Linked DNA regions of Arabidopsis thaliana. The protein of the gene in region 4 interacts with the protein of the main gene of each other region in a pairwise test. Each region holds a gene or a part of one and is shown on either strand. Other genes may lie near its edges.

Region 1 (7,411 bases), on a different chromosome or scaffold from region 4:
CAATTACATACTAAAATCTCTGAAATCATTTATCTCATAAGTTTTTATATCCAACATGTTTGGTATATGTATATATTTTTGGTCTAAAATAACATAACCAGATGTTTGTAGCGGCCCATATTTTTGGCTCGTATAAGCCCACTAAGATGGATTCTGCACCTTTGCCAATGACCCAATAAAATAACTTAGGGCTTTAAGGTTCCAAACCCACAATTACCATCCTCAGGTAAGTCGGGGGCTCGGGGCCAGGTATGAATTAGTCCAAATCCCCAAGTTTAGACAACCGATTTTGAGAAGAATGTTGTTTTCCTTTACGATTTGGATGTTATATCTTCTCTTGTTTAATGTTTTCTTTTCTTTCTTTTTTTTTTCAAAAAATTTGGTGTTACTAACATATTGACTAATTAATATTATTTATTACAAATCCGTTGTAGTCTAGCTGGTCAGGATACTCGGCTCTCACCCGAGAGACCCGGGTTCGAGTCCCGGCAACGGAGATTTATTTTTACTAATTACAGACAAAATTTACCCAATCCTAGCAGGGAACATGACTGATGTTCCAACTAATTACAGGTTTTTGGTTATATATATGTTTTATTCTGTCCCAATTCTTATACTCTTTGGATTTCAAAAATGTTCGGTTTTACTAGGACTTGTACTGTAATTTAAGACGAGTGGGATCACATGCCTCTAAGTAAAATGTGTTAAATTAATTTAATCTAGTAAAAAAAATCATCTGAAATTGGCTAAATTGTTCTTTACTTGAAAAAAAAAAAAAACTGTTCTTTCACTGTCCCCACTCACGATGATTCAATTACCCTGCATGCTCATAAACCTGAGCTAAGGAATTCCTTTTTATAGAAAAATGCTTATCGTCGAACAAAATGTTGATCAGTGGATGTTGGAAAAAAAAGAATGTTCATTAGTGGATATATTAATCGTTGAATGTTAAAATATTCATCAAAACATATAATTGATTGAGTCTATTTGGTTTTTTGTTAAATGAGTCTACTGTCTACTTCTCGTGTATGTAGCTACAATACGGCATTATGCGTCTATGCATGGATACTGGAAATACGTTTGTACCTGCAATAATCCAAGAAAATGAAAACCCTCGAAGTCAATTTCATATGTGTAATATTCTTCCCCTCAAAAACAAAAGAGAAAGAAAAATAAAGTGAAAAACTCATTAAAGAGTTTTCCATAACACTAACACTTTCGGACCAAACAAGAGACTTCTTCACTTTTCTTCACTGCAGCTTCCCATGCCTTGTAATCACTTTTTTGTAGACTTTTTAGATCCTCTCGCGAAAGAGAAAAAATAAACATGTTTTTTTTTTTTGCTACTCCATTTTAAAAAACTTAGCATCATTACTAATATTATAACACATAATCTACCCTCGTAGTTATAGAAATCAATACAATAACGCATATATATCCTACCTTTTTCGTCTAGCTTTATTTTTCTTAACTTGATATATAGCCAATTTGAAATTTTATTTTTGGATGAATTAAGCCAAGTGGTGAACTGGTGATTACTTATACATTTTCTTTTTTGGTTTGATCATTTTTAATGACCAAACCTAACCGGTGAAATTGGAGTAAGATAAAGTGATATCACTAGATTACAAAGTGTTCAAATTTGGAAAGAAACAACACTGAGTTTTTCTTTGTTTGTTCTTCTCCATGGTGGAAGCAGAAAGAGGAAATCCAAAAAAGAAAGAAAAAGAGAAGTCGCTGTAAGAGACCAGACTCTGAGGAAATGAGGGTGTGGTTCTTTGGGAATCGTAACGCACAAAGACGGAAGATTGTATCGCTATTAATAAAAAGGAGGAAGAAGCACAATTGCTGAAAAAAATAGTTATATATGTATGGCCTATATATATATATAGTTATTTAATGCTTTTTTATGTACGCGATAATTTGGATGAAAATAATGGAGATTGTCAGATTTTATGATTCAATCTTCATCGGAAAATGTTGCATAGTTATTTCACCCACTCACGTGTATATGTACTATATACATTTACACTAGATTCATCTAGTTAGGGTTTACGGTTACACTTTATACACAGACGAAATGGGGGCCGCTTGAGCTGTCACATGTTTAAACCATATCATAATAGATAAGCTAGTGATAATTTGCTTAAAAGAAAACATGATTTAGTAAATCAATTGCATTCAATTTTTGTTTATTACAACTCGGTATACATTTCGAAACATATTATACAAGCTTTATAAACCATTATGATATTTCACATCACAGTTGCAGAAATGTACATACAACCAAAAAGGAAAAAGTAATAATAAAATACTATATGTATTCTAAATGAAATCATAGATTTAAGAAGTAAATTAAATTTATGTGTCTTATATATTCTATTATTTTACATGTTTTTGTGGAAATTTAGAAACTAGCTGTCCAAAATGAATCATTTAACTTTCACATGTATGAAAAATATTAATAGACTTAATTAAAAAACACTCTAAATTTATGATCAGGCAATAAAAAAATTGTTCATTGCTCCAATCCATCCGAATTTGTATTATATAAAATACATGGCAAAATAAAACTTCTTTTAACTAAACTATATTATATTATAAGTCTTGCTCATGACTGTTATATACTTTAATAATATGATCGAATGCTAGCTATTATATTAAATACACAGTTACTCTTTTAATTGCGGTTTTCATTTTAAACCGCTATAAATGCGAAAACTATATAGTGTATACTTATATCGAATCAAATTAATTTCCAAAACTTGTGTGTGTATAAGTAGATGTTCATACATGTAGTTGGCAGTTGGGTGGATTTAATAAGAATATAATATACAGTGAACAATGGATTAATACCAAAGAAGTAACCCTATAATGCATGATTGCAGCCTGCATGCGCAATTTGTATGATTATAATGCAGACCAAATCATAACATATGTGCAAAATATACGCTTATATCTCATATATGTACATATACATGTGTATTTATACATTGCTTTTGTGTTGAGGCATATGACATAAGAAACTTGTCACATTAAATCAGAACCGTCTGATTTTTGTATAAACGGATCGAAACAACGTATATAAATTTGCCTCTTTTGAAGTCTCATAAAATTTCGTGTATTTTACGGATTTGTGTTTGTTTTATACACTTGTATACAAGAACGTTGTTACGTAGATGTGAACTTTGTTAATAAAAAGCAGAAATTGCTTCATGGAAAATGATATATTCACCACCGTCTTATATAAACGAGTCACGACGATGATACACGTCTTTCTTATTAATGACAATCATGGATAACACCCAAATGTTGAAGAAGCTAAGGTGTCCCCATGCGAGTGATTTGATGTTTGTTATCCTTATAAACCTTTAATCACGTCGCAAGTTATAGAATAGCTTTGTGGAAAAAAGCAAGTTGATCATTTGTTTTATAATAATATATAACATTGCGAGTTTCACACACAATTTACATTCAATATTGGACTCCATCGAGGGGAGAGAGAAAATCACGACCGTTGATCGGGATAAGAGTATAGGATCAACAAAATGTGCTATTTCGTGAAGAGACAAGAGAATGAGAGAAAATTTATCAAGATTTCCTATTTTAGTGAATGGGTTTTGTGAAGAGAGAAGGAGATAATTAAAGGGATTGTAAATTGAGAAGTCAGAATAAGAGCACACAAGTGGTGACATCTTTTGTGAATCAAAGAGAAACTCATGTTCATATAAAGTAATTCACATTCTTATAGCTAGTGGTTATTAGTTTATTACTTTGGTGAAAGCCACTTTCTCGATATACCCTAAATTCAAGTCTCAATGTGGGAGAGGGAAACCCTAGCCAACTCAAAACTATCTCATTAGTCAACTGGAGCTGCTCATTAAAAAAAAAAAAAAAAAAGCGATTATGCCAACTATATGTATACAAAAGTGCTACAACGTTTATAAACATTTTCGGAGCATAAAAAAACTTCTTATTCAACTATATACAATTTAATCTTTTTCTTTGGTAACGACTAGTGACGTCCACTTATTGAAAAGATACATATAAATAAAATTATTCTTTATTTTTTCTCCGAACCAAAATCCTTAATTGCATCACCAACCTAACCCCTCATCATATGATCACCTTTCTTTTTTTCCTTTAATATATATATATGCTCACACACACACATATATATATACATATAAGCATCGCCTCAAGCATTAAAATTTTTACGAACCAAACAAACAAAAATTATGAATAATTATAATATGAACCCATCTCTCTTCCAAAATTACACTTGGAACAACATCATCAACAGCAGCAACAACAACAACAAGAATGATGATCATCATCATCAACATAATAATGATCCAATCGGTATGGCCATGGACCAGTACACACAGCTCCATATCTTCAATCCTTTCTCTTCTTCTCATTTCCCTCCTCTCTCTTCTTCCCTCACAACCACCACTCTTCTCTCCGGAGATCAAGAAGACGACGAAGACGAAGAAGAACCTCTAGAGGAACTCGGTGCTATGAAGGAAATGATGTACAAGATCGCAGCCATGCAATCGGTTGACATCGACCCAGCAACCGTCAAGAAACCCAAACGCCGTAACGTGAGGATCTCCGACGACCCTCAGAGTGTGGCGGCTAGACATCGCCGTGAGAGAATCAGTGAGAGGATCAGAATTCTTCAGAGACTCGTGCCAGGTGGCACTAAAATGGATACGGCTTCAATGCTCGATGAAGCTATACGCTATGTCAAGTTCTTGAAACGGCAGATCCGGCTACTCAATAATAATACCGGATATACTCCTCCGCCGCCGCAAGATCAAGCTTCTCAGGCGGTGACGACGTCATGGGTTTCACCGCCACCACCGCCAAGTTTCGGCCGTGGGGGAAGAGGAGTAGGAGAATTAATCTAGACAAGATGACATTTCCATTAGTAGTAACTAAATTATGCTATAATGTGTGAGTAATGGTGCAATTATGGAAAGTGTTTATATATAATAAAAATGGATACGAAATAAGGGTTTGTTAGGATATATAATATATTGTTGTTGACCGTGAAAAGGTTGTGGAATAATCATAACGGTTAGCTTGAGTTGTGTACCACCATATATTTAATATTATGTTATCATTTCGTATATAATAATAAGTTCTTGATTTGGAGTTTGGTTGTATACAAGTTTTGGCCGGGCATTTTTCGGGCATAAGAACCATGACGCCATCAAAGAACCCTATTTAAATAGTGTTATCATTACTGTGGACTTTTGTCTTTGTATACACACAACGCATATATTTGTGAAGTACTATATTTTAGAGCATATAATATGAATGTACTCTATTGCTTCATTTTCATCTTTTTACGTACATACCTCACTTTGAACGTTAATACCTATACATATTGAAAATCGTTTTGTTATGATTAGAATAAGCTTTAAGAATTCCTAAATTACAATAAGCTTTAGGGCTTTTTTTTTAATATATAGCTTCACAACTAGCAACGAAAAATCCAAAAAGAAAAAAGTTGTTATGAAAATAATATCCGTACGTTTAGTCTATTAGATTATACTTGTTAGTATCCGATTAAACATCACCTGAAAACTAAAAAGTCTAACAGACTAAACGTATCCGATTATACTTGTTGTAAAAATGTTAACGAAAAATGTTTAGCTATAGTAACGTTTAGCATAATGAAAATTACGACAATCATCCCATAAAATGATGTTTTGTAATATAAAGTAATCTCAAATTACAACAAACCGATAAGGTATACAGATACTCTACTCCAGAAAGAGAGTATATATCGAGACATATTATAAAGAGGATGGTGCAGAGAAAATGTACTTGCTCGTTTTGTCTTCGAATTAATGAATAGAAGTTCAACTAAAACAGTTGCAAGATCTCTTTTTACCTTCCCAATAATAAAAAGAAAACCTTTGACTACAAACAAGCATTAAACCACCAGAGCTTTGCTCCACACTTGTTGGTCAGAAAATCTCAGAAAAGTAGCAGAGAGGTTAATTCAAGGAAACCTATGCTCCTTGTTCACTTCACTCATGGATACTTCCGCTGACTTTTGTGTCTCCTCACATTCATAGGTTTTAATAAAGACACAATGAAATGTCAGTGAGATTCATGGAAACCTAGCTATATCCATTTTGCTAACGAAATCATTTAATATATTTTCTTTCTTTTTGCCACATAGTTATACATTCATTCACATCCTAGAGATAATTGCAAGAACTTAACGTCTAACCAAATTATTTAGCTCAAACAATGCATTAATAGTCACTAAATAGCCATGGGTATGATTCATATATTTTCAAATCTAATTCGTTTTACTACAGAAATATTTCAATGTGATTCGAGATAATTCTTACATGATCAAACAACTTTCTAATTTTATGAATAAACTGTGATCCCGGTGAAAATGTATGTACTTCACACCATTAAATATCAATATTTTTAACGGCCCATAAATATAGGCCCAATTATGTGAAAAGTTACTAATGGGCCTGATTTATTTCAAGTGTCCGTTTTTCTCTCTCTAGTTCTCTTACTCGTATGAGAAAGAAAGCCCACCCGGGAATCTCCGACCCGACCGAGAAATGGGATCGTCAGCGAATACAGAAACCAACGGCAACGCACCGCCACCGTCGTCGAATCAAAAGCCTCCGGCTACGAACGGCGTTGATGGGTCTCATCCTCCTCCTCCTCCTTTAACTCCTGATCAAGCTATTATAGAGTCGGATCCGTCGAAGAAGAGGAAAATGGGGATGCTTCCTCTAGAAGTGGGTACTCGTGTGATGTGTCGGTGGAGAGACGGGAAACACCATCCGGTGAAAGTAATTGAGCGCCGGCGGATACATAACGGCGGTCAAAATGATTACGAGTATTACGTTCATTACACTGAGTGTATGTCGTTTAATTCCTTATCAAGTTTTGATGTAGGGTTTTCAATTTTGGTTGATTCGTACTGTTGAGCTTCACAAAGGTGGAAATTTAGTCAAGGGTTTATAATGTAGGAAGAAAAAAGAGTTAAATTGCAAGACTTTATCAATTGGATCATTGGAATTGGCTTCAAGTTGTGTGAGATTTTTGAGAAGGAGATCAAATTCTGCATTATACTTTGCTTCTAAAGATTTTGAACCATTTATACTATTGTGATTAAGCTGAGTAATATGATGACAAAGTTGGTGATTTTGAAATCTTATGATCATCAATGTGTTTGATTTTGGTAATTTGTTTTCGAAACTGCAGTTAATAGGAGGCTGGATGAATGGACTCAGCTGGACCAACTGGACCTTGATTCAGTAGAGTGCGCTGTAGATGAAAAAGTGGAAGACAAGGTGCGTTCTCTAGTTTTGTATTGTTAGTTGCATAATGTGGATTTCATGAGTTTTCTCATATACGTTTA
Region 2 (9,201 bases), 5.4 Mb from region 4:
AATTGAAGTGTACTGCCATGTAACACGGTTTTAGTCGGTGCTGATAAATTTGATATTAAACGACATAAAATTTGTGAGATGATATTTTAAAAGTTGTCAACATCTGTTGCTATTTCTTATATAGTAATGGGCTTTGTCTACTTTTTTGTAGTGAACTTGATTAGTGTCTATAATTGATCTCCAAAGACAAATGATGGTTGACTTCCATTGACACTAATATTTACTTTCAGACATGTGGGGTTCAGTTTATACCTTTACAATTTGGATGTTTGTGAAAAAAAACAAAACTAATATAATAAGTAAAAGATGATATATTATTCTCGAAAGGAGAAAGTCCCCAGACAATCTATTATGCACACACCATTTGAAGAATTAAGTTCGTTTTAATTAATGGATATCAATTAATTGATTGAAACATCATTGGCAAGTTAATTAGTTACTTTTTTCGAAAAGTAAAAAACTGAAAGAATTATTTCATAATCATGCATATATATGAGAAGTGGAGAGTATGAATTATTGCTTCAATTAAATTGTAAGTACTTTCTCATTAGATGTACAAATAGATTGGGGGTTTATGGCAAAAGCTTTTCTAAACCAATCAGAAGAGAAAAGAATAGGGAAATGTCAATGTCACGCCTATGATCTCAGAACACACATACATGCATGTATATAAACATTTAAATTTCCAATACATGTGTGTACTATCTCTGCATTCCCATCGCCCAAATTGCGACAAAAGTGTGGGCTAACCCTAACATTATATACGTTTCTAGTAAAGTATGATCAGACCAACATTTTCAACGTTTCCTTCCTTATAACCAAAAATTATGCACGCCTTAATACTCAAAACTTCCGCCTTTTATATTTGCATCTTTGGTCGACCTTTTACCGATATAACCACCTTTTTTTCTTTGTCAAACACTTATATGACCACTTAAATGTTATTAATTGTGAGGCAATAAATAGTAGCTGATTGCAATATTTCGGAGCTTGATTCTTCATATGTTAAGTTATGCTGAATTTACAAAATAATGTGTTTTTTTCGGTAACCGAATGTTAGGGATTGCACAACCATATGAATAATTGCTTGTGAGATTACGAAATATTAACTAACTTAACCACTTAAATGTTGTTTGGGGGCAGGAAATACTAGTAGCAATAACACGATTGATTTTGCATTACATAATCTAATTCTATGATTCTTCGGATCGATTAGTAACAAATACTAATTAATATTGATATACAAGCTAAGGAGTTATTTTCAATTGGTGGGACAAAACATATATGATATATGCATTGCATCATTTTCGCAAGTAGGTGCATAGATATTTTCTTAGACATCTATACTTGAAATGAGAATGGAATATTATATAAAATCATATGTAGGTTTGAAATTAATTACGTGTGGAGTTTTGCTCGTGGCTTTCACCAATATGGTGTTCCTATATATACGTACATATTCATGGCGCTTTTAAAACTATCATTGAGAAACACTACATTAGTATATTGGCTGTTTCCCTTGTATAATTCTTAGTTAAAAAGAGTTTTCTTATCCAGCAAAAGCAATACAAACTAAAAATAAAATTGTAATCTAGAAAATAGCTAGGAAGATAAATCATATAGTTTCCTTATCCTAATCAATGAAATTCGGATACACATTTGAGAGCGTGCGTAAATTATTAAGTGATAAATGCCAAATATTTTAAAACAACAAAATAACGATTTAAGTTAAACGGAAATATAAAACTAGTATATTGATAAGCAGCCGGTTAACTCGGAAATTTTAACTACAAAAATAGAATTAATTTACTTTCGCTTTCATGGAAAGTCTAGACTTGGATGATTCCAAATATTCAAATGGAGGGGGAAAAAACAATCATATAATTGACTAAAAAGCTAATGATAACCAATCAATAAAAATGGAGCATCATGTTTATCTCTACATATACATACATGATACAAACAAACAAAACAAAGTATGTTTCAATTGAAATTAAATACTAATAATTAAAAAAAAAATTAAAAAAATAGGAAAGGAATTGTATAGAGAAACGAGAAAAAGTAATGGCAGTGGTAATTAAGGAATGACAACAACGGGTGAATGAGGCGACGCTTAATCACTCCCATGCACACGTCCCTTTCTTCCCCCCACCTCTGCCGCCCTCTCTCTCTCCTCTCTTCTCTTCCTCCATTGGGAACTGCGAATTCTATTGTCAAAGCTTTAAAACTTTTTTCACTTAAATTTTTTTTCAAGAGCTTCGTCGTTTCTTAACTTACTTGCAAACACATTACATGTGTCATCACGTGCAACCCCAACCCCAAAGCCTAAGCTCGCGAATCTTCTAATGTATGCCTCAATCTTCCCTTGTTCATACTAGTACTACAATATCTTCTTCCTAAGATTTCAAAATTGATCATGAAGTGGTTTGTAGTTTAGTGGTCATCGCTATATTGATCCAATCTCATATTTTTGTCGAAAGTTTTGTATAGTAGCTATAAATTTGATTCTTTAGTTAGAATTTCTTGTTCTATTTATATAGAAACATAAATGCCTATAGCTATTTTCATATATTAACATGTGCTTTTAATTGTATAGACCAAAATTTAATTGATTGCAAAATTAGGTTTGTAATTGTTTGAGATCAGATAGAAAAAGGTCCATCTTTAAGCGATAATATCCTCAAAACTATTTTGTCATCAGTCTTGTCTCCTTGTGACCACAAGGTCATCTTAGAGGTACAACGGTATAGATGCTTAATGTCTACGTTTTCTAGTAAGGGTGAGACCGCATGGTCAACCGAATTTCTAATATAGGCATTATCAAAAAGAAATCTTATATTGGATGTTGACAACAAAGATTTAATAATAACTCGCATCATTTGACTAATTAAAAATTAAAAAAGATCTAAGTGAGATGTATATTTTTATCAAAAAAAAAGAAGTGATATTTGTAAAGAAATTGTCCAATTCTTTTGTCAATTAATATTATGTTCAAAGTAATTTAACATTTGTTTAATATCTGGATCCACTTGTCAAGATTATGCATTTTGTGATAAATAAAAACAAAGAGTGCGGTATAGTGGTGGTACAATTCAATTGTTATGTGGCAATACAATTTATAAGAATATACGGAAAAGGTATAAAAAAAACTGTTTGTGAAAAAAATGAACTGCTTATTCAAATGGTGTTTAGGGTGTAGTTCCGAAACTTATTAAAAAAACTAATGTATGTTTATTTTATCGATCATAAATTTTATTCGGCCACTTGATTTAATGAAAAATTATATAAATAGTTATTGTCTTATTAAACACCGGCATATTTATTTTTATTTGGTTTGTGTTATCTGTTCTACACCATCCAAACTTATTCCATTTATGTTGCTGGTTCACTACCGCTGACTCTGTTATACTATTCAAAACCTAAAATTGTATATAACCCATTGGAGAATTTCTTTAAAGAATATATGTATCGCTGAATTGAAATGTATAATACACCACATTATATATATACACACAGTATTACCGAATTAATTAACGAAATTAATAGTAGACGACCTAGAGGCTACAATTAGAGCATTTGTTGTTTAATTTTTACCCTCTAATATATTAATATCCCCTTTCCCTTCTCACTCCTTTCACCTCTTCTCTCTCTATATATCTTCCTTTGTGGTATATAATACACAGCAACCCAACAATCAAGAAGATCAGATCATGGTGGGGTTTTTTATTTTCTCCTTATCAAGAATCCTCTGATCAGTCAAATACCCATCAATCAATCAAATCCCCAAACACTCCCAAAAAAAGATCAGCTTCCAATATTTTTCCCCTTCTTACAAAAAAGATGTCTATGTCGTCTATGTCCTCCCCTTCCTCAGCTGTTTGTTCACCGGACCACTTCTCTCCTTCCGACCATCTCTGCTATGTCCAATGCAACTTTTGCCAAACCATCCTTGCGGTACAAAATAACCTCTCTTCAATACTTTCTCTCTCATTTTTTCTCCTCCAACTTCTCATCTTCTTGATCTATACAAGATTAGGGGTTTTTTAAATTCATTGTTTCTTTTGTGTGCTTATAGGTTAATGTTCCTTACACAAGCTTGTTCAAGACCGTAACTGTCCGATGTGGTTGCTGTACCAATCTCCTTTCGGTGAACATGAGATCATATGTCCTCCCAGCTTCTAACCAGCTCCAGCTCCAGCTCGGTCCTCACTCTTACTTCAATCCCCAGGATATTCTGGTACTTAAACAAAATTCAAATACATAATCTTATAGGGTCTCATTTAGCTTATTGGAAGTAATCTCAAGCCTCAAGGATATAAATATTATTGTAGGAGGAGCTGAGAGATGCACCGTCTAACATGAATATGATGATGATGAATCAACATCCTACTATGAATGACATACCATCTTTCATGGATCTTCATCAACAACATGAGATTCCTAAAGCACCACCCGTTAACCGCCGTAAGATACTAATTCTTCTCACTTTTATGATATTAACTTCTATGCTAACCGTGTTTATAATTTGGTTGTGATGATGAATCGCCATTAAGACATGCATAGCTTTTCTTATTTAACTTTCACTGGATCTCGTTCAAACCCTAGCACCATTGAATTAAGTCTAGAAGGAGATTTTTTACCTTTCTTTTCTTTGTATACTAGAAGGAGACATGAGAGATTATGATTTTGTATATTTAAAATATTCATTGATCCATGAACTTTAGTATGTGTTGATTGTCTACATATCCTAGATGGCTTTTAGCGTTGGTAAACATTAAAATAGTGACGATAAAAGAAACGGGGAGATAGATTCATGGATCCCCCGGAAATCTAGCTAAAGAGAAAAAATCTATGTAATATGTTAGAAGATGGGCTTGTCTTTAAAAAAACATGATGAAGTGATGATGGGTTAGAGAGAGAAAGTATTTGTGTGAGAGAGAAAAAAGACAATGAAAGTAGTTTTAATGAGTGTTTGTCTCTTTCTGTCTGAGTTTTTGTTTTTTCGCTTTGTCTTTGCCGTTGAATTTCGCCATTGCCAGCTCCAGAGAAAAGACAGAGAGTCCCATCCGCATATAACCGATTCATCAAGTGAGTCTCTTATTTAATTTTTACAATCATTCATATTCTAACCATAACTGTGTAACATTAATATAATTCCTTGTCACGTTTTTATTTTAGGGAGGAGATCCAACGTATCAAAGCTGGTAATCCTGATATAAGCCACAGAGAAGCCTTTAGTGCTGCTGCCAAGAATGTAAGAACCTTATTTCTCACATCCCAAAAATTTATATTAAACTGTTATCCATTGGTTGAATCAAATTTTAATAATCAAAAGAGTCCTTGATAATCCATATTTATCTCTAGTTCAATAAAAAAATTATTTTTTTAAACGCTGAAAATTCTAGTTAGAAGTGATGCGTTTTAAGTATTCTTTGTTTTCCTTTACTAAAGAATTTAAGCCATTGATACTACTAACATCACAACTTGGTTTAGATTGCCGGCAGAAACTAGGGTTTGATTTTATCTATGCGTATAGTTGCTCTTGTATTAGTTGTATATATATTAAACAGTCATATATGTAGGTATAGCTGAAATTAGGAGTAAAGAATTTTGTCGGGTTATAACACAAGTTGATATGTGTCTTGTACGTATGTTGTTTATGTGTAATGCAGTGGGCCCACTTCCCCCACATACACTTCGGGCTCGTGCCAGACAATCAACCCGTGAAGAAAACCAACATGCCCCAACAGGTAAACCCTAATCTGTCGACATACCTTACATCTTTAATGCATATACTTTTATGTAATATCATATATACAAATATAATTTCAATTGATTTGGATCATATCTTAAACATGTGTGTAGGAGGGAGAGGATAACATGGTGATGAAAGAAGGGTTCTACGCTCCTGCAGCTGCTAACGTTGGTGTGACTCCTTATTAAAGAGATAAATATAATCGACTAAGTATTTGAGGAATTGAAATCCAATTTCTTAGGGTTTATCATGTCCAAAAGTTGTGGTTTCTTTTCCTTTCTTGAACTTATTTATATATATTATAAATATGCATGTGTCTTTTTCTGTTGTTGTAATCAAAAATCTTGCTAATTAATGGGGTTTCTTAAGTTAATTTTCATTTGTAGTTGTATAATTAATTAACTTATCAAAATGTTTTCTTATTATTACTGAAAGCCGAATTTGAAATTTAAATAATCAGACTTTTTTAATAGATTTTTACACCATCGCCATATGTAAAAGAAACTCAAAGGAAATTACAACCACCAATTAATCCAAAGCTTTTTTTCCTCCAGAATGAATATATCACAAAAATTTAACCGAAGAGAAAACAAGAGGGGAATGATCATATTACATTTCAAAATTCAAACTAAACTAAGAATGGAAATATGCACAAGCATTTGCTTCCCGAAAACATGTAAAACGATGTGATTCTGTTCAAATTTCTCCATTCAAAATCTGATTCTTGAGATTGTTGCATATGGTTCAATCTTATTGCTCCCATTAATGGTTTTATAATAGTGATATGGTATAATTAAATAAGAACTGGGGCATGCATCAAACGACAATTGTTGTCAAAATAGAGGGAAATTAAAAGTTAAGATAAATTTATTTCGTAAGATCAAAAATTCAGTGATAGCAATAAGCTAATCTAAAAGTGTATATCAGACTTAAATTTAACTCGTCTTTTTTTCTTTTGGTGCAATATAGAGCGGTGGATATAAGTAGCAAATCAAACAAAAATGACATTAGGATATGAGCAAGCATGATAAATAACAAAAAAAAAACGTTTTGGGTCAAGTGACTATATGTTATCAGGCCTACTAGAATTCGGCCCATTAATATTAATGACGAGTTTCCTTAGCAATCAGTGGGCCTGGTATACAATAATGCGATGATAATAAAATGATTTAAATCCTTCTTTTTTTTTTCTTTTTTTTTTTGGACTAAAAAATGATTTAAATCCTTAGCACCGGATCCCAACGGAAATTGCTTCTCAGAATAGTTTTCTTCAGTCTCCGACTATATTTATTTCATTTTCCGATCATCGTACTATACACTCCCCAACATCGAGTAAACAAGCTTAGTTGTCAATTTACGAGTTCCAAAAGAAGAATCCAACAAAACGCAGTGTTTCGTTACTTCTAGACCCATCTAATTTCTACGTGTTGTATGCAACAATGACGGCTTTACCCTTTCGCTTTCTAATGTGGTCCATGTTGTTCTGGACTTATAGGTCCATATGGGCCTATGTTGGGTTGGATAATAATTAACCAATAAGAGACCACGTAGAGACCCTCTAAACCAAATAGAGGCGTTGAAGCATGAGCACGAATAGAAGAGCGTTATGATTGAATGTCATTTATGGACGAGAGGAGAAATACTAAGAACATAAAATCCATTAACAAGCTCAAGCATTACATCAAACTCAATATTGAGAGAACAAAGGTTCTATCATGAACAAGCTCAAGCATTACATCAAACTCAACAGTGACAGAACAAAGCTTTTTCTCACAAAAACAATAGATAACAGTAGAAACAAACATATAAAAACATAGCAAACCAAAGAGATTTTTCTCTTTTAAAGTCTCAAATCTTCAAGAACATTGGAAACCATGAGGAACTTTCTTGCCACAATAGTTCAACAGCAAGGTTAGATCAATAGGAACATTGAGATTAATCCCCAAGACATTGGCTTTAAGAGCGGTGCAGAGACAAACCGCAGCTTCAAGATTAGCAAGACCTTGAAGAAGTGTACAACAAGGAGTCTTTGGTGGAGAACCAACAACAACGTTAACTAGGCCCAATAAGTCTGCGCAAACACCAAGCTTAAGTGTGTCGGTAGGACAAGTGGGTTTCACGGCAGGAGCCTTCTTAGGCGATTTCGGGGTTTTTGGGGGTTTAGGAGTAGTTGGTGGACATTTTGTGGAGGTTACAAAGGTGAAGAAAAGAAGATTAAGTGTAATAAGAAGAGCTGTAACTGCAAGAGCCTTAGAAGCCATTGTAACGTTTTGTAATGTTTTGGGATGAATGTGAAGGAGAGATATAGGACATGGTTTATATAGAACAAGTTATTACTAATTACATATACCGAGAGATAAAATAGCATGTGAGCGACTTAAGAAAATTAGAGTAAGAAACAAAACTATCCAGCTAGTTGGCTTTTGCAACTTGAGGTCTTGAAATTGATTAGACTATTTTTTAGGAATTGTTAATTTATTTTTCTATCACAGAAAGGGAAAAGACAAGATTTTTGTCTTGTTTGTTTGTGAAAGAAGAGGCTCCACAAACTTTGAGACAGAGTGTCTCTCTGGGTGGTATGCATCAGTTTGATCATAGTTGTGTAGATCCATTATACGTTGTTGATAAGATATTGTTTTACATTGCATTAGTCCCCATTCCTTTAGATTTTTTTATGAATGATAGATCTTTCAGCATCAACCGATTATATTTCCAAATGCAACTGGACAAGATAATCCCAAAAACAAAATTCAAAGAGTCTACATCTCATCATTACTCGTTTCCAATATTTGGTTTGGTCTAGTTTATCCAAATTTGTAAGATACCTTCTAGAGTGGTCCGTTTAGTATCCAAGAAAGAATTCATGTAGTAGCATCATCAAATGATACCAGTCTAATGAATGAAATCTTTGAGGGAGAAAGAAAGCCACACAAACTTATAATACCAAAGGAAGATAATATTATAAGATTAGTCTATGTACATTTTAACAAGTGAAAAGAAGATAGTAATCACAATTATTTGAGAAATGATAAATATTGAGAACAAACTATACACACAAATTGAAAGTTGGGAAGAAGCATTAAAACGTGGCGGATTCTCAGAGGTCAGAGATTAGATTGAAGAAGCACCGAATGTGTTCTCGCCACTGTAAGTGATGTAAAGGAAGCCATCTTCGTCTTTCTTATCCTCGTAAACGCTTGACATTAGCTCTCCTGTTGGAGGAAGAACATTGTCTACGAAAATGAAGATAGCTTTCTCTGCACTTAGTTTGATTCTCTTCCGAATCACATACACAAATTGACCAACTGTTAGGTCTGATGGCACAAGGTACCTGCATTTATCAAAATCCAGAACAATTCCAAAATTACATACAAGTCTTGAAAACATTGAACAAATAACAAGTTTAACATGATCAACAAAAGGTACTTACTTCTTCTTGTCTATAT
Region 3 (7,903 bases), on a different chromosome or scaffold from region 4:
TGATAAATGTTACTAATCATTATTTATAGTTAAAAGAAAATTCGATTGAAAACTGATCTAATACAAAAACCATCTTATTGAATTTGTTTATGCGTGTTGTACTCGAGTAATAAATTTACTCAAGGAGAAAAATATCTTCTCCAATTAATGAAATGCCGGTGAATGATGTTACTTTTGAAACTAATATTGAAGCGGTGCGTAATGGATCTGTAGTTAATTTCCTGTGAGCTTTTAATGCAGTGTGCCATAAAAATGGATGATTGGGATACTTTTGTTGAGATTAATAAATGATAGGGTTCTCTATGTAAAAGACCAAAAGAAATGAGATAAATAAGCAATATAGATACATTATGTAGCCGACTTCGAATCGGGTGAGAAGAAAAAGGAGGGAAAAAATCTGGTTGGTTGGGATTGAGATTCTGGATGACCTTAGTATGAAGCGTGTGGGTTCCACCAAGAAAAAGCGGCCGCCGCAGCTAATCTTGTTTCACACGTGTCTCTCAGTATTTTATTTTTGGTTAAGATTTAAAATGAATTATTATTCCCACTCGAATATTATAATGCTAATATATTTTTAATTAAGATGTGATCCTGATATCCATATCTGCAACTAACCTGTATTTTATTAATTCTACACATGACCCATCATCCATGTGTATAATTAGTATGCCTATTTCTCTGCATATTCTTCTTCTTTTTATTTTTTTTAATGTAAAAATTAATCTTATTGTCTAAAGTTTCTGGTATTGAAAAATTGTGGGAGGTGGGGTTTCTTTGGGACAAGATGATGAGATGAGGGGCCAAAATGAAATTACCTCAATTTACGGAGTCCTTCACGTAAACAAATAAGGCTAGTAAATATATAATAAATCAATGAAATGAAAAGAAAGACAGTGAGAATCAAACTTTATCGGACGGTGGAGATGCACGTGAAGACAACCCAATATCCCGACATAAACCTCGTCAACACGGAATTTACATCCCATGCCACTTTCACACGCGCCATATGCTCAACCACACACATCTTCTGTAAAAATTCCGGTTTTCACTTAAGAAATATGTTAACAGAGTCAATCGAACCGGATTTTTAAGGCATATTAGGTCAATTATAATTGGTGGACTTCTACTTGGATAACTACCAATAGGAAAAGTAAATATTAATTTTTTTATTTTAAGTGATTTTATCTTCATGAACTGTTACGGGCATACAATGTTTTCCTCTGCAAAATTGTCTCTCTTTTAAAAACAGGAGTTTAACTTATCAAATTAACTTCTAAAATATACCTCAACTATTCTGTCTGAGTGAAATTATTTGAATACGATAAAAGATGCGTAAAAACATTCTTTATTTCTAGATATATATATATATTTGTAAACATAATTTACTCGCTATAAATACTCTCTTTGAGAGGACAAAGACTTTGAAATAATACTACTAAAAAGTCTTATTCTCATAAATATATTATTAAAAAAAATGGGAATGTGGGCGCCACCGTCTCTGATTCGGTCTCTTCTGAAAAGGATGATGATGACTCGCGCTGCTTGGCCGTCGGTGCCGCTTCACTCTTTTTTTTTTTTTGCGTAGTTAATAAACATGAAAGTGTATGATCCAGACACGTGGATAAGAATAGAATCTAGCCGTTGGATCTACACGAGAATCACGAAAGGATAGTTATTGACTCTTTCTGATTGCGGAGTTGGAGACAAGAATCCAATCAAAAACCTCTCTTCTCTGCCTCTCATTATGAAGCCGCTTTCTATTTCACACCCTCTTATACGTCGTCGTTTTCTTTCAAACTTTTAACATCATTGTTTTGTACCTATATTTACATTTTCAACACATCACGCCATCATTCAATAAAAAATTTCGCAAGTTAAATTTACTTTCCGCACAAATTTAAAACAACGAAATAAAATTCAAAAAGACCAGCCATCTAGAAATAATTGGCCAAAAGAATATCTATAAATAACACTATTGTTAGCTTAACGGGTCAAATGATGTTGGTTTAGTCCAATTCAACTCCGAATCAATTCAATGTCATAGTTTAAAGAAAATTAATTTTGCACTATAAGCTATATATTCTAAAAGCTTTCAGATAAAAAAAACCAATATCTAGACTAGTCATAGTTGTTTCTTTAGAGACTTTGTGTACTCTTTTTCCATTTTTTGCCGACAAAAATTTGTTTACGAAACTAGAGATCTTTCTTAAAAAAAATTGAACAAAATCTTATCTTTGTTTTGTGGCAGTTTCTTTTCCAAATTTAAGAATCTATCAAATTAAAAATCTAGGTTCTCTCTGTCAGACCTAAAGAGTGTTAACTCTCAGCTTCAAGACTCTTCCAAGTTAGCTAGAAAGAAAAGAAATGAGTATGTCCGTACTCTGTGAGTGGACCCTACTACTAAGTGACGTAAGCGCAAAGAATTTTCTAACTTACGCCGCAGAGAGCAAAACGAGGGCCCACACACGCCGGCTGCGTGTCTGCTGGAAACTTGGACCATTGTTAAAAGCCGACGATACTCAACTACCATTTTATTAATCTCACTTTGAATTTTAGTTTTTCTTATACTTCAACTTACAATTATTTTGTTTTGTCAAATAAGTAATTTTAGTCCCTTCAATTTTTTTAATTTGGTGGTAACGATAGAAAAGGAAAGCCAATAGAAGGAGCCGCCACAACCCACAAGTAGTAATAATCAAAATTTCGGAAATTGGATTGGACAAGATAATTCTGAAGATTACCAAATTATTGATTGAAAATTTGGAAGAACAAAAAAAAAAAAAGTAGTAAAAAAAATAGAGAAACAACATGGGGTGAAACCAAGTCGCAAAAAATTAAAAGCACACAACAAAAGTTCAGATCTCCGGTTATGTAATAATATGTACATAACGATCCATGTCAGCTAAAATTATATTTTTCTCTCTCAGATTTAATCTGTTTTTTCTTTCTAAAAACTGGTAATAAATTTAGACTGAGAGAGAGAGAGAGGAAAAACTATGAGAAAACGAATTTTCACAGCTCAAAAAGAAGAAGAAACGCATGCGCTTCGAATTGAAACGACACCGTTAAAAGCTCAGGCCTGTTCCGATGGAGGAGGCAAATTAAGATCTAGATCTAACAGCTGAGATCTCTTCTCCATCCCACCTTCGAAATCAACGACCGATGACGAATCAGAGTCGCTTTGGGCACCACAAGCCATCTTCGTCGCAACATGCACCACCGGCGATCTAAACGCCGATGTCACAGGAGGAGGCTGACCACGACCTACGTTACCGATCCCCATCAGGTCCAAAAAGTAGACAGGACGCGACATCGGGATCTGATAACACGAGCCGCCGCCTCCTCCGCCGAGACTAAGCTCGAGCTGCGGGGGAACATTCCCAGCCGTCGCTGAAGGCACAACTAACGTCGGAGGAGAAGCACAGTCGAGCGTGCTGCTCTGGCTAGGGCTACGCGCGAAACCGGTAGGGACCTTCTGGTCACTCAGCTCGAGAAAAGTTGGGAAATTGGTCTTAGCCTTAGCACCACGAAAATCACGCGCCGCCGTATCGTAAGCACGCGCCGCCTCTTCAGCCGTATCGAAAGTGCCAAGCCAGACGCGGGTTTTCTTGCCCGGATCTCGGATCTCGGCGGCATAACGGCCCCAAGGACGCTTCCTAACGCCTCTGTAACGAATCTCCTTGGCATTATTGTGGGTCTGGTTAGTAGTAGCCGGGTCGGGTTTCAAGCCCATCTTGGCCATTCTCGGATAGATAGATTAGAGAGAGAGTGGTGGTGTGATAGATAATTGAAGGGAGAAGAGGAAAGGAGAGAGTTGTTTATATATAGGATGGGAGAGAGAGTAAAAGCGACGCTCCTTTTGGGGCGCTTTGTTGTGAACAGTCAAAGCCTGAAATGGTTTTAGCGGCTTCTCTTACAAAACACCAGCGGTTTTCATGGTTTTCTTTTTTACCTCCACTTATCTTTTGCCACGTGTTTTTCTTTCCTCTTTCAAAGAATTTTGTTTTTCTTATCAACCCTTCATTTCTTTTTTAACCTCACCAAGCGTTTTCAATTTTTGTTGATCATCTTATTAATGAATTTATTGATGTATTTAAAAAGTTGAATACATTGTCAAAAATATAGATACAAATTAAATACATTAATTTGATTGACTTTAATTTTAAAATAAAACTTTTTATCACTGGATCTTTAATTTAATTATTAATATTTGGCAATGAGAAAATTAATTGGACTATGTAATCTTTGCATTAAAGTTCTTAATGAAATAAGGATAAATTTTGAAATATAGATCTTACTATGATACATATTTAATCAATCCGTATTTTGAATGATTTATTTTGTGGTGGAAAATATTGGATGCAAAGTCTTTTTTTTTTTTTTTTGTGTAAACTATTTTATCTAAAAAGTGAAATTCATTTGTTATCTGTATGTACAATGTACTAACAAACTTTTGATACAATTTGTAACAAAAAAACTAAAGAAATCCGTACAGTATTTGACGCATTTAATGGAGATGCATGTTGTTTGCTGTTTTGTCTACACAGCGTATTCCCTTGAATGCTGGTGATAAGATTTTGATTTTCATAACCGAGGGAATTAAGAATGTAATCCCACATCTTAATTTAATATATATAGTTAATCTAACTACGAATTGTCATGTGCCATTTACCCTCATGATTTAGGATATAACTACACAAGCTTGCTCTAGTGAGTACACTTGTAATGAACTCAGTTTGTTTTCTCATAACCTGTTGGATCAACCTTAATGCTTGCATAATTGAGAAAAAAACTTGAACAAATATGTGAGTAACTAATTTTTCAGATCATATCAATTTTGTTTTCGTATCTCAAAACTTTTGGTTTAAAAAATACCCAATTTTTTGTAAGACCAATAAACAACTAAAGATACTGTTATGTGTGTAAAAATTTGAAAATACAGGTAAATAAAGTCATACTATATGGCAGTGTGAGTTAAAGACAAGAGTAACTTCAAAAACTAGGAAATAAGTTAAGCAGCGGCGCCTGAAAAGAAGAGAGAAGAAGAAACCAAAGAACAGTATTGGATGACGCAAAAATGTAAAATACGTGGCAACACCTTGAGGACGCGCGGCTTGGGAACCGCGTTTCCATGTACGAGCGTGAATCTCACCGCCAAACACGTGCCGACGGCGATCGCGTGAAAGAAAGAGCGTTATGCGTGACTTCGTAGACTCAGCTCCAAATTCAACTTGGAGTTTGACTGCTTTTTCTTTCGCGGAATAAAACTAAAATAAAAACAAAAGGCTATTTAGCCGCCCCTCCGCCAAAGAAAAACAAAGATGGCCCACAACGCACTCGCTATTTAAATAAAATAGAAAGAGTTTTAAAGATGTATAGTGCCACGTGGTCAACGCGACGCGTGGAGAATGGATGAAGAGAGAGAGAGAATGGTGGCCGCGTCGGCTAACCGAGAGAGATTCTAACGGCGGTGGGCCCGCCGTTTGTTTTGTTCTTTGTTTCCTAAAAGACGGACGGTAATTACATTCTGACGGCAGAACAAGACGTGTGATTAATAGATTAGTTTTAATAAATTTTATGTAATTTGGTTGTTAATTGGCTCTTTTTTAATTGGTCTTTGTTTATTCTTTTACGACAGCTACATATGTCTTCACGCCATGGATAATGGATTGGGTTTCTTGGGCCACAGAATCAGCTGGATATCAGAAAATAAAAAGATTCATTTATTTAAATATATTATCTTTACGTTTCATTAAGAAGATACTACTGTTTAATTTTCTTAAACATGATTATAGACTTAAGCTAGCTTCACTTTTATGCTGTCTCTATATTCAAAACCTCTGTTTGTTTGTAAGCAAAACTTTCGGTACCAAACAATATCACTTCAATCGAAATAAATTCTTTATTCAATAAAAATTATTTTTTTTGTCCGAAACGAATGAAATTTCATATACTAAAATTTGTTATCATTCGTATTTTAATAGCAATCACTAACAAATAATGCTGTTCTTAAACAAATAATGATCATTCAACCTTACTAAAAAAATCCGGTTTAATTCATTTTTGGTAAAAAGATATGTATTTTTCATTGCAATTTTTGTTGTTGTATATGTAACGTTTTGCTTCGGAAGATCTTTAGAGAGTTTAGTGAAGATGGGAGGGAAAAACAAAATTGAAATCTTGTTTCAGCTACAAAGTGCTCTATCGCGGCGCCGGATCTCATCATTGGTCGATTTTCGCCGTGTTTTTCCTCCCGAGACACCGAATCATAAGAACAATATCACTCTCTCCAGGTTCCACTTTCTGGGTACACACTTTCTTCATTCTCTTGGAGCTCCCGACAAATTTCCAAATAGATTCAACGACGACAAAGACAAGCAATCTGCTCTTGATGTTCATAACATCATAAAGCATCACCGTGGAAGTTCACCTGAAAAGATTAAGCGGATTCTCGATAAGTGCGGGATAGACTTAACCGAAGAGCTTGTTTTAGAAGTGGTTAATCGGAATCGATCTGATTGGAAACCAGCTTATATACTTTCTCAATTGGTCGTTAAACAATCTGTTCATCTATCTAGCTCGATGTTGTATAACGAGATTCTCGATGTTCTTGGGAAAATGCGGCGATTTGAAGAGTTTCACCAAGTGTTCGACGAAATGTCTAAGAGAGATGGATTTGTTAACGAGAAGACGTACGAAGTTTTGTTAAACCGTTACGCTGCTGCACATAAAGTTGATGAAGCTGTAGGAGTCTTTGAGAGGAGGAAAGAGTTTGGGATAGATGATGATCTGGTTGCGTTTCATGGGCTTTTGATGTGGTTGTGTAGGTATAAGCATGTTGAATTTGCGGAAACTTTGTTTTGCTCTCGTAGAAGAGAGTTTGGTTGCGATATAAAAGCGATGAATATGATTCTCAACGGGTGGTGTGTATTAGGAAATGTTCATGAAGCTAAGAGGTTTTGGAAAGATATCATTGCTTCTAAATGCAGGCCAGATGTTGTTAGCTATGGGACAATGATAAATGCATTGACGAAGAAGGGGAAATTGGGAAAGGCTATGGAATTATACAGAGCAATGTGGGACACCAGAAGAAACCCGGATGTTAAAATCTGCAATAACGTTATTGATGCTTTGTGTTTCAAGAAGAGAATCCCTGAGGCTCTTGAAGTATTCAGGGAGATTAGTGAGAAAGGTCCCGACCCGAATGTTGTGACGTATAACTCACTTTTGAAGCATCTCTGCAAGATAAGGAGAACTGAGAAAGTTTGGGAGCTAGTGGAAGAGATGGAACTTAAAGGTGGTAGTTGTTCGCCTAACGATGTGACATTCAGTTACTTGCTCAAGTATTCGCAGAGATCGAAGGATGTTGACATAGTTTTGGAAAGGATGGCAAAGAACAAGTGTGAAATGACAAGCGATTTGTACAATTTGATGTTTAGGTTATATGTGCAATGGGACAAGGAAGAGAAAGTGAGAGAGATATGGAGTGAGATGGAGAGAAGTGGATTAGGACCAGATCAGAGAACATATACTATTAGGATTCATGGTCTGCACACAAAGGGGAAAATTGGAGAAGCATTGAGTTACTTTCAAGAGATGATGTCAAAAGGAATGGTACCAGAGCCAAGAACTGAGATGTTACTGAACCAGAACAAGACCAAGCCAAGAGTAGAAGACAAAATGCTTAGATCGAACTTAACAAGCGAAGAGTCTGAAAGCGACTAAATGTACATTATAAAGAAACAGATTTTGATTTTGAAAGATCTAGTAACAAAAACAAATTTCCGTTATCCCCATGTTCTTATGCAGCCATGGGCACAGCTTCTGATGGTGCTGCAGCAGCTGCGTCTGGGACGTACCAACCATGGTGAATTTCAACGGCTTTTTTCCTCCTAGCCAATCG
Region 4 (8,767 bases):
CCATGTTAAGTTCGTTGTCCTTCCAAAATATTGATGTCACCTGTCGGAAAATTTGACATAAACTTTAAATGTCGTGTAACGTGGTGATAAATAACAAAATCTCAGGGAATCGGTAAAAGAACACATCAAGTTACAGACATAACAGAACAAACTGAGAAAAAAAAAAGAACAGAACATAAATATGCTTTGATAGAGTCTCAGAATCATTTTCAAACAGAACCATTTTCAAAATTGTGAAGTAACAATTAACTCTAATTCCAATCCAAACATACGAAAGGCGATACCTTTGAAGAAATAGTGATCCCTCGTTCACGCTCAAGATTAATAGAATCCATAGCACGCTCGTGAGGGATATCAGCACCACACTGACGAAGAAGCCTGTCCATAAGTGTTGTCTTCCCGTGATCGACATGAGCTATCACAGCCACGTTTCTTAGTCGATTAGGGTCAAGCGAGCTATTAGGAGCTCCGGCTGCAGCTGTGGAAGCGGTGGCTGCTGAAAAGGAGCGTAAGGAGGAGAGCGAGTATCCGAATTTGGAAGGTGATGAATGAGAAGAGAAGGATCTTCGAGTGGTGTTTGACCAAAGAGATCGAAGCAAAGGCCCCGCCATCTTTGTTCACGCGAAATGGTCTCTGATAGGGTTTTAGATCTAATCTCTGGTGACGATGACCAAAGGGTTTTTGGTCTAAAACTGTTTGGAATTTATTTGATCGTTATTTACAAAATAGGACATTATCACTTGTAGAATCTTATATTTTCCCTATACTTTTCAATTGCTTATATTACTCCCACAGTCCTATTTGATTATACAACCATGGCTTTTATAGTTTTATGTAGAAATTAAAACCTCTCATTATGTGATATTCGGTTTTTCCATTAATAATAGAAGTGATTCCGATAAGTTGATACATATAGCGAAGATGAACTGAGAATTTGACTCAGCTTATATGGATGAAGTGGTTTACATATTGTTATGTAATATTTGTAGGACGAAAAGGAGAATTCATGATAGATTTTTGCAAACTTTATAAATCTATTTATGATCTATCCACAAATGTTCTTAGAACTCTTTATTATTTTTTATTTGAGATTTGATAATATTTAATGTTGATCATATATATTGTATTATGGTAAAGTTTTGTTGGTATTTTGGTTTATGTGGATGATACCATATGATATTTTGGTTCTTTTTTGTAATTGACAATTCGGCTATTTAATTACTTCCAACTCAAGGATCTTGGTCATCTTCGGTACTTATCTATTTTGGAAATTGTTAGATAAAAAAAAAACCATTATGTTTGTCAACGCAAGTTACATCTTCGAGATGTTGTCTGATAATGTTTCTTTTGGTGGTAAACAAGGTCAATTCTCATATGCACCAAGGGACATATAGTTCATAAGATTGTTTGTTTCTTAAAGGAAGCATTGGACAAAGCTTGTTTTTACTTTGCTGCTCTAGACCTATATATTTGAGGTTTCACTGCTTATGACTAGGCAAGTTATCCACAATTTCGTATGTACTATGTATCTTGGATTTTATGTTCAATGAAAATTCATCCATTTCATTGTCTATCAAAGCTAAATACAAAGTTATGGCTCTTGGAATTTGTGAACATGTTTGGATTGCCTATATTATGTAAATATATATTTTGGTTTTATATTATGTAAATATATAAAGCATGCTTCTTATGCTCTCTCTGTGTACTCTACAGTGACAACACTTTAGCTCTTCATATTGCTCGGAATCTTATTTTCACGAAAAAAACTAAACACAGAGACATATATTTTCATATTGTTTGGCGTATCCGATATAGTTTTATGAAGGGTGTTTGATTTTGATTGTACCGGTTTGCTCTACCGCATTCCTGTCTGTTGGTTTAGGTTTGTTGGGTTACACTTACATATAGTACAATCCTTTTGTAACAAAACTGTAGATGGAAGTTGTAATCCTTTTGTTGAACTCTTCTAATAATCCAAGCACAATCCATAATCAAAAGGCCAAAGTAGTCATTCTCGCAGTAGATGACTTTTAAAAGTACGAACATTCTGTAGCTTTTAACGTCTTGTATAAAAATGATGATCATCGTTGGGAAAAATATTAATGATCATCATGTGACAACAAAGTACAAACTCCTTTAACCTAAATATATTATCATGTATTTCATCAAACCAAATATATGTACATATATATATACTATATGTAAAAGTGCCAAAAAGTGATAAATGTCATTCTCTATATAGCCCGCCTATCTATATGACTAAAACAATTATTTCAAGATGAATTATAGAAAAATCTTCTGTCAAACCCAATTAGACCAAGTAAAGCAGACTAAACTATCGAGATCCTTTGGTATCACTGTCACAAAGCATTGAATACTCAATAGCAACTTTTTCATAAAAATCCCAAATTTGTAATAAATTTGACTTTTCTATTAAATAGTCGCAACTTTTTAGCAAGCTAAGCTATATTACAAAAGAAAATTGGTATCTGCACAGATGATAATGAACACCTTTTTCTTCATTACTCATGTAATACGACCTATGCTTTTAACGTTCTTCAATTACTCTTTACTTAACCGAAGAAATAGAAACCGCAAGTAAAAACCAGAAAATTCAAACTCACTCGTAGAACAAAAATATGAGATTACAATATCCCAGCCTAACGCCAGTACTAAACCAAAACACACATAAAACCCATCTTTTCAAATATCACAATCTTGATGATCAATGCAAAGATGATAAGAAACAAACAAGCAAAATTGAATAATAATAACAAACACTAAATGAGTAATAATAGTCTTGAATCATAAATATATGGATAGATGGTAATACTAATTAATATAGCGCTTACTCTAGCTCCATTCATCACATTAATTTCCTCCTTCTTGTTCAATGCATGTCATCATGAATTTGAACCTCCATGGTTGTCTGAAAGAAATACATGTGGTAATTTAATTATGAAAGATTTAATTATTGTCTGGTTTCTTGATTAATAACCTATTATACTTAAAATATATAAATACATTAAAAAGAAGAAGCAAACCTTAGTTTAGAGGTGTGAGTTTGGAGGAGAAGAAGAAGAGTTTGGTTGAGTAGCTTCTTCTCCGTGGAGTAGTCTTGTAGTGTTGGGGAAACTAAGGCCTTGCATCATCATCATCCCATGAGAACCATACTGTGATGATGAAGCAAACATCGAAGAAGCTTGATTCTGATGATGATGATGATCCGACGTCGTTTGATGATGATCCCAAGAACGAAACGAATGAGGGAATAAACTGGACTGAAGGGTACCCCTTTGTTGTTGTTGTTGTTGGCCACCAAGAAACACTTGTTGTTGCTGACTATTAAGCAATGTCATCATCGACGGTTGATGATGATGATGGTGAGGATGATGATTCACCATGAAACCACCATTACTCCTTTCTTCTTGTTCTTGTTGTTGATGTTCTGATGAGGATGATGACGTCATAGTTAAGTCGTGATGATTCCATCCAGAGATTCTCCCGAACGTGTCGAAATGAGTCGTGGTGAAATTGTTGGTCTCGGGAACTACGACTGTGTTGTTGTTCCCTTGAAATGGGTGAAGAGAGAGACCAAGATCTTGGCTAAGGTTTGGTGGTGGTGTTGTTGTTCTTGAGACCATGTTGTTGTCATCCTGATGAGGGTAGTTTTGGAAATTGATGTTTGTACCACCACCACCGTTTGTTGTTGTCGTCGCCGGGAAAAACGTTTTCATTGCGTCTTCAGGATCAAGATTGGCCGCCACGAACTGCGTTTGGTCATTGTTCTCTCTTTGGAAAACCAAAGTGGGAGATTCCGGTTTAGTATTCACCGGTTCTTGACGAGTAGTAGTAGTAGTAGTCTCCCCGAGTTCAAGCTTATCAATAGCGGTTTTGGCTTTCTTGATGAGCCAATCAACGGCTTTGCTAGGCCGGTCATAACCTAACCGGTCTTGCACATCGTAGAATTGAATCGCCGTGTGAGCTGAGAGTCTCACGCGCCGGTCACGTGGACCCTTTGATGTGAACACTTTGCTATGACGGTCTTTGCGTCCAGTGGCTCGGATTATGTGACCGCCTTGAACCTCAACTATCTCTCCTCCTCCTTCTCCGACGCTATATCCTTTAAGTCCCATTATTTTTTTACCTTTCAAAATGACATTCCAAGAGTTGTTTTAACTTGGAAGAAAAACTTGCGTGCCGTTTTTGTTGCCCACTTGCTTTGTTTACCTCTTCAAAATGCTTGCCGTTTTGTTGTTATTGTGGTGTTTGGTGTGTAGTGAGTTAATAACATCTGATGCAGGCTGGACACAGCTACCTGAAAGCTGCTACAAGAAGCAACTCTTCTATGCAGATCCCCAAAAGATCTGCCATGGCAGTCACAAGATTCAATGACCCAACATACCCAAATCAAAAAAGGGAAAAAATGAAGAAATATTTAGAAGAAAAGAGATTGGAATCTTTAGTCTAGGGTTTTCCCAAAGAGATGAGAATTTGGACAACAAAATTGATATTAAAAATAAAAGAGCGAGAGAGAGAGAGAGAGAGAGAGAGAGATGCTACTTTAATATATTGATATGTTTAGTTGGTCTAAAATCGAAGGACAAGAAGAAGAAGAGGAAAAAAAAGAGAGAGAGTATACTATTAGATTGTTGGTGGAAAGGATAGCAGAAGTTAAGGGTTCAGAATAGGAAAGTAAACTAAATAAATACCCTTTTGCTTTCAACCTTTTGTTCCTTATTATAAGATTCCTATTTCACATATCAACATGTGTCCTTGTTAAGTTCTTAGCCACATATTTGTTTATTTCAAATTTTTTTGTTACAGAAAAATTCCTCAATCATTATTCTTCAATCATGCGTGCCATATCGAATTCTTGAAACATACATAACTATATATATCATATAATAAGGAATATAGGAAAATTGAAAAACATCAATAAATGAACATATATCATATCTTAGTTACACCAATTTGTAATATTTTGTTTGGTTAATGTCAAATCCTCCTTCACTAATTAATTAAAACTTGAAAAGCATATGTTTCACACAACATACACACACATTGGTCGGCTTAGGATTACATGCTAATCAAAGTCGACAATGGAATAATTTGACTCTAGTATGATTTTTTTTTTTGGTAAGCTGAGGGGTGGCAATTGCCTACCCCAATTTATTAAGAACAAACTACAAAAAATTACAATAAAACAGCTCGAGGGAACTCTGTTCCATTAACATCTGCGAGCAAAAGTAAACGGACTCCCTCTGGGCATGCATCAAAACAATGAAGCCCTAGCGGCAAGGTAAAGGCATAGTTTGCTAACCCGTCAGCGAGACGGTTAGCTTCCCTATACACGTGTGACACACGGACTAACCAGTCCCTCGTAAAGAAGCCTTGGCACAACCGTACCAGGAAGGACAGCGGATGAGCGTTGCTTACCCCTGTGCTTAAAAAACCCACCACCAACTTGCAATCCAAGTCTAACTCCACTCGTCGAAACCCCTTGTCCCACGCAATGAGCAGCCCATAGTAGGCGCCCCATAACTCGGCTAATGGCGCTGCACAAGATCCAATGTTTAGTGCAAAACCACCTAGCCACTCCCCCTGCCCATTCCGGATGGCCCCTCCTGCCGCAGCCAGCCCGTGATTCCCACGGGACGCTCCATCCGTGGTAATTTTCACCCACCCATCGCTTGGAACCTGCCACCTGATCATTCTTTCCACCCGCACACCATTAGGCCGGTTACCAACAGCACCAACATGTACTCTCCTCACCTCCTCCGCCATGTCTTTGATGAACTTCAGCCTGTCCCGACAAATCTTTCGTTCCCCAAACACATCACAACACCTCCACTTCCAAGCCCACCAAATTCCCATACCAAAAAGAGTAGGCCAAATCCCCTTTACTGGATCCATATTTGTAAATAACCACTCCAATAAAGACTGGCTAAAAAACTCATGATGTCGTCTCAGTGGCAGCAACCGACGCCAAATCGGTTCCATAGCGGGGCAGTCACGCAACACATGGAGTATTGTTTCCTCGGCTCCATTACACACCGAACATATAGCATTCTCACTCAAATGGCGCCGGACTCTCTCCACATTAGTCATGATCACATTCTGGCTCACCAACCAAATAAACACCCGTACTCTCTCAGGCGTGATCAGCTTCCAGATTCTGTTAAAGAAGCTCCCCATATTCGGCCTGTCTCCAACGTCACCTTGTAGGAGGGAATACGCAGAGCGGACTGTGAAGGCCCCATCCTGTGTACCCTTCCATGATATCTCGTCTCCATTACCCAGAAAAACCTGAACCACAACCGAGAGCAACCGCCTCTTAACTGTCTCTGGCAGATACAAACCCAGAATTTCCAGGTTCCAACCTGATCCCGGCAACCAATAATCGGCTGCCACCTTTATTCTCTCCCCCTCCGGTATCATATCAGTCCCAAGCTCCACCAACGGCTCCTGCAACAGCCAGCGATCCAACCAGAACCTTATTGTGCACCCATCTCCAGGCACCCATCCAACGCCCTTAACCACCACTTCCCGGAGCCCTACTGCCACACTTCTCCACGTGGAGGACCATCTTGGTTGTGGTTTCAGCCAGCTAGTATCTTGTACTCCACCCACTTTGTACTTTTTGCGAACAACCCGTGCCCATAAGCTCTCTTTATCTTGAAGCAGACGCCACCCCACCTTGGCTACCAAGGCCTTATTCATATCACGAGCAGACCGTAATCCGATCCCTCCCTCAGCTTTCGGCTTACATATCTTACGCCAAGATAGCAAGTGTTGTTTTTTCTTCTCCATAGTACTCCCCCAAAGAAAAGTTCTGGAGTATCTATCCAAAGTATCAAGCGTAGAGACCGGTAAAAGAATCGCACTCATTACATGAACCGGGATAGAAGACAGAACCGCTTTTGTCAGAGTGATTCTCCCTGCCAAGCTCAAAGATCGGCCCTTCCAACCCGCCAACCGAGCTGAAACTCTTTCCAACACTTCTCCAAACGTCTCCTTATTCATTCGTTTCTGTAAGATTGGCATACCCAAATACTTCCCCAGCTCTTTAGTGCAACCAATCCCACTCTCTTCACTTATCAATTGCTCCATTTCTCTACTCACATTGTGAGAAAAAAATATTTTCGACTTCTCTAGGCTGACTTTCTGTCCCGAGGCCTCACAGAACCGTTCCAACACCCGACGAATGATCCTAATTTGCGCTACCGAAGCTTCTGCAAAGAGAATCAAGTCATCTGCGAAGCAGACATGTGACAACTTCGACCCCCCACATGACACTGCTATCGGTTTCCATTCTCTCTTTCCAACTGACGCCTCTATCAAATGACACAGTCTCTCCAAACAGAGTACAAACAAATACGGCGACAACGGATCCCCTTGTCTCAATCCCCTAGCCGGTACAAAAGAGTCTGTTCTCTCACCATTCCACAGTACACTCATTGAAGGGTCTGTAACTCCTGCCATTATTCTGCTTGTCCAACCCTCAGACAGTCCAGCAGCTTCTAACGTTTCCTGAAGAAAATCCCATCTAACACGGTCATAGGCCTTTTCAAGGTCCAGCTTGAGTAACATCCAGCCTTTCCGCCCCTTCTTCCTCCTCATAGAGTGGACTGCCTCTTGTACTAACACAATGTTATCAATGCTCAAACGCCCAGGGATGAAACTCGCTTGGGCCGGCCCAATTAGCTTAGAGATGACATTCTTCAACCGGGTCACCATCATTTTCGTAATTATTTTGAATAAAACATTACATAAGCTCACCGGTCTAAACTGCTGAATGCGTTCCGGCTTGGCCACTTTAGCTATTAACACAAGCAGAGCATCATTCGTGGAAGCTGGTAAAACCCCTGTCTCGAAGAATTCCAACACAAATCTCGTCACTGAGGGTCCCACTGTCTCCCAACACTGTTGGTAGAAGACTGGTTGATAGCCGTCGGGTCCTGGTGCCTTAAACCGTCCCATACTCTTCACCGCACTAACCACTTCAGCCTTCGTAAAAGCTTGGAGCAACGCTGCCTTCTCCGCCTCTGATATGGATGCAAAGCCACCAGTTGGCAACATATTTCGGACTTCACTAACATCTTCCAACGAGTACAGCCGCTTATAATATGTTAAAGCCATAGCTTCCAGCTCCACCTTATCCGTCACCCACCTATCATCATCTCCTTTTAATGACTCAATCCTATTCCTCCTTCTGCGGATAATTGTTGAGGTGTGAAAGAAAGTTGTATTTCGATCACCCAACTCAATGTATTTCTCCCGTGACTTCTGAAACCACAAAGTCTCCTCTTGTTCCAGCACCAAATCCATTTCCTTCAATAGGACCTCCTCTTTAGCTAGCAAATCATCAGACAACACCACTCCCAACAGGTCCTGAACCTCTTTTATATCTGCCACCAACTTTTCTTTGCGCACGTGAATGTCCCCAAACACTTCTCTATTCCATTTTCTCAACTTCCGCTGCAACTCTTTCAACGCATCGGGCGTGGGACAAAGTCACACTCCAAGACAAACTCAGCAGCTCTTTAAAGCCCTCATGGTTCAACCATGCCGCCTCAAACCTGAATGGGCGCCGACGAGGATCGACCTGCTGAAGCGGTTCCAGCTGGACATACAAAGGAGCATGATCTGACGCCATGAAAGGTAAATGGGACACTACAGCCTCCTGCCACTTCAACCTAGCATGGGCACAAACAAAAACTCTGTCCAGTCGTTTAGCCACTACAGTACTCTCTTGTCTCCCTCT

Evidence for each region.
Region 1: the proteins of TCP10 (region 4) and HEC3 interact in binary tests that used the Arabidopsis thaliana proteins (3 or more experiments, as listed by UniProt).
Region 2: the proteins of TCP10 (region 4) and AFO interact in binary tests that used the Arabidopsis thaliana proteins (3 or more experiments, as listed by UniProt).
Region 3: the proteins of TCP10 (region 4) and ERF4 interact in binary tests that used the Arabidopsis thaliana proteins (3 or more experiments, as listed by UniProt).

Annotation. Positions count from the first base shown.
Region 1 is NC_003076.8:3,023,903-3,031,313, reverse strand, and holds HEC3 (basic helix-loop-helix (bHLH) DNA-binding superfamily protein), read left to right. Parts: upstream 1-4,199; 5' UTR 4,200-4,238; coding exon 4,239-4,913; 3' UTR 4,914-5,205; downstream 5,206-7,411. Other genes in the region: HAM2 (histone acetyltransferase of the MYST family 2), read left to right, coding at 6,603-6,909, 7,255-7,343. UniProt on the Arabidopsis thaliana protein: Required for the female reproductive tract development and fertility.
Region 2 is NC_003071.7:18,625,192-18,634,392, reverse strand, and holds AFO (Plant-specific transcription factor YABBY family protein), read left to right. Parts: upstream 1-3,613; 5' UTR 3,614-3,840; coding exon 3,841-3,954; intron 3,955-3,964; exon of another isoform or gene 3,965-4,075; coding exon 4,076-4,237; intron 4,238-4,331; coding exon 4,332-4,464; intron 4,465-5,039; coding exon 5,040-5,088; intron 5,089-5,178; coding exon 5,179-5,254; intron 5,255-5,672; coding exon 5,673-5,750; intron 5,751-5,865; coding exon 5,866-5,943; 3' UTR 5,944-6,141; downstream 6,142-9,201. Other genes in the region: AT2G45180 (Bifunctional inhibitor/lipid-transfer protein/seed storage 2S albumin superfamily protein), read right to left, coding at 7,612-8,016; ATG8E (AUTOPHAGY 8E), read right to left, coding at 8,867-9,086, 9,186-9,201.
Region 3 is NC_003074.8:5,117,311-5,125,213, reverse strand, and holds ERF4 (ethylene responsive element binding factor 4), read right to left. Parts: upstream 3,793-7,903; 5' UTR 3,743-3,792; coding exon 3,074-3,742; 3' UTR 2,652-3,073; downstream 1-2,651. Other genes in the region: AT3G15200 (Tetratricopeptide repeat (TPR)-like superfamily protein), read left to right, coding at 6,154-7,725; PRPS20 (chloroplast 30S ribosomal protein S20), read right to left, coding at 7,802-7,903.
Region 4 is NC_003071.7:13,217,934-13,226,700, forward strand, and holds TCP10 (TCP domain protein 10), read right to left. Parts: upstream 4,677-8,767; 5' UTR 4,137-4,676; coding exon 3,051-4,136; 3' UTR 3,045-3,050; intron 2,930-3,044; 3' UTR 2,545-2,929; downstream 1-2,544. Other genes in the region: EMB2785 (elongation factor family protein), read right to left, coding at 1-40, 273-611. UniProt on the Arabidopsis thaliana protein: Plays a pivotal role in the control of morphogenesis of shoot organs by negatively regulating the expression of boundary-specific genes such as CUC genes, probably through the induction of miRNA (e.g. miR164). Participates in ovule development.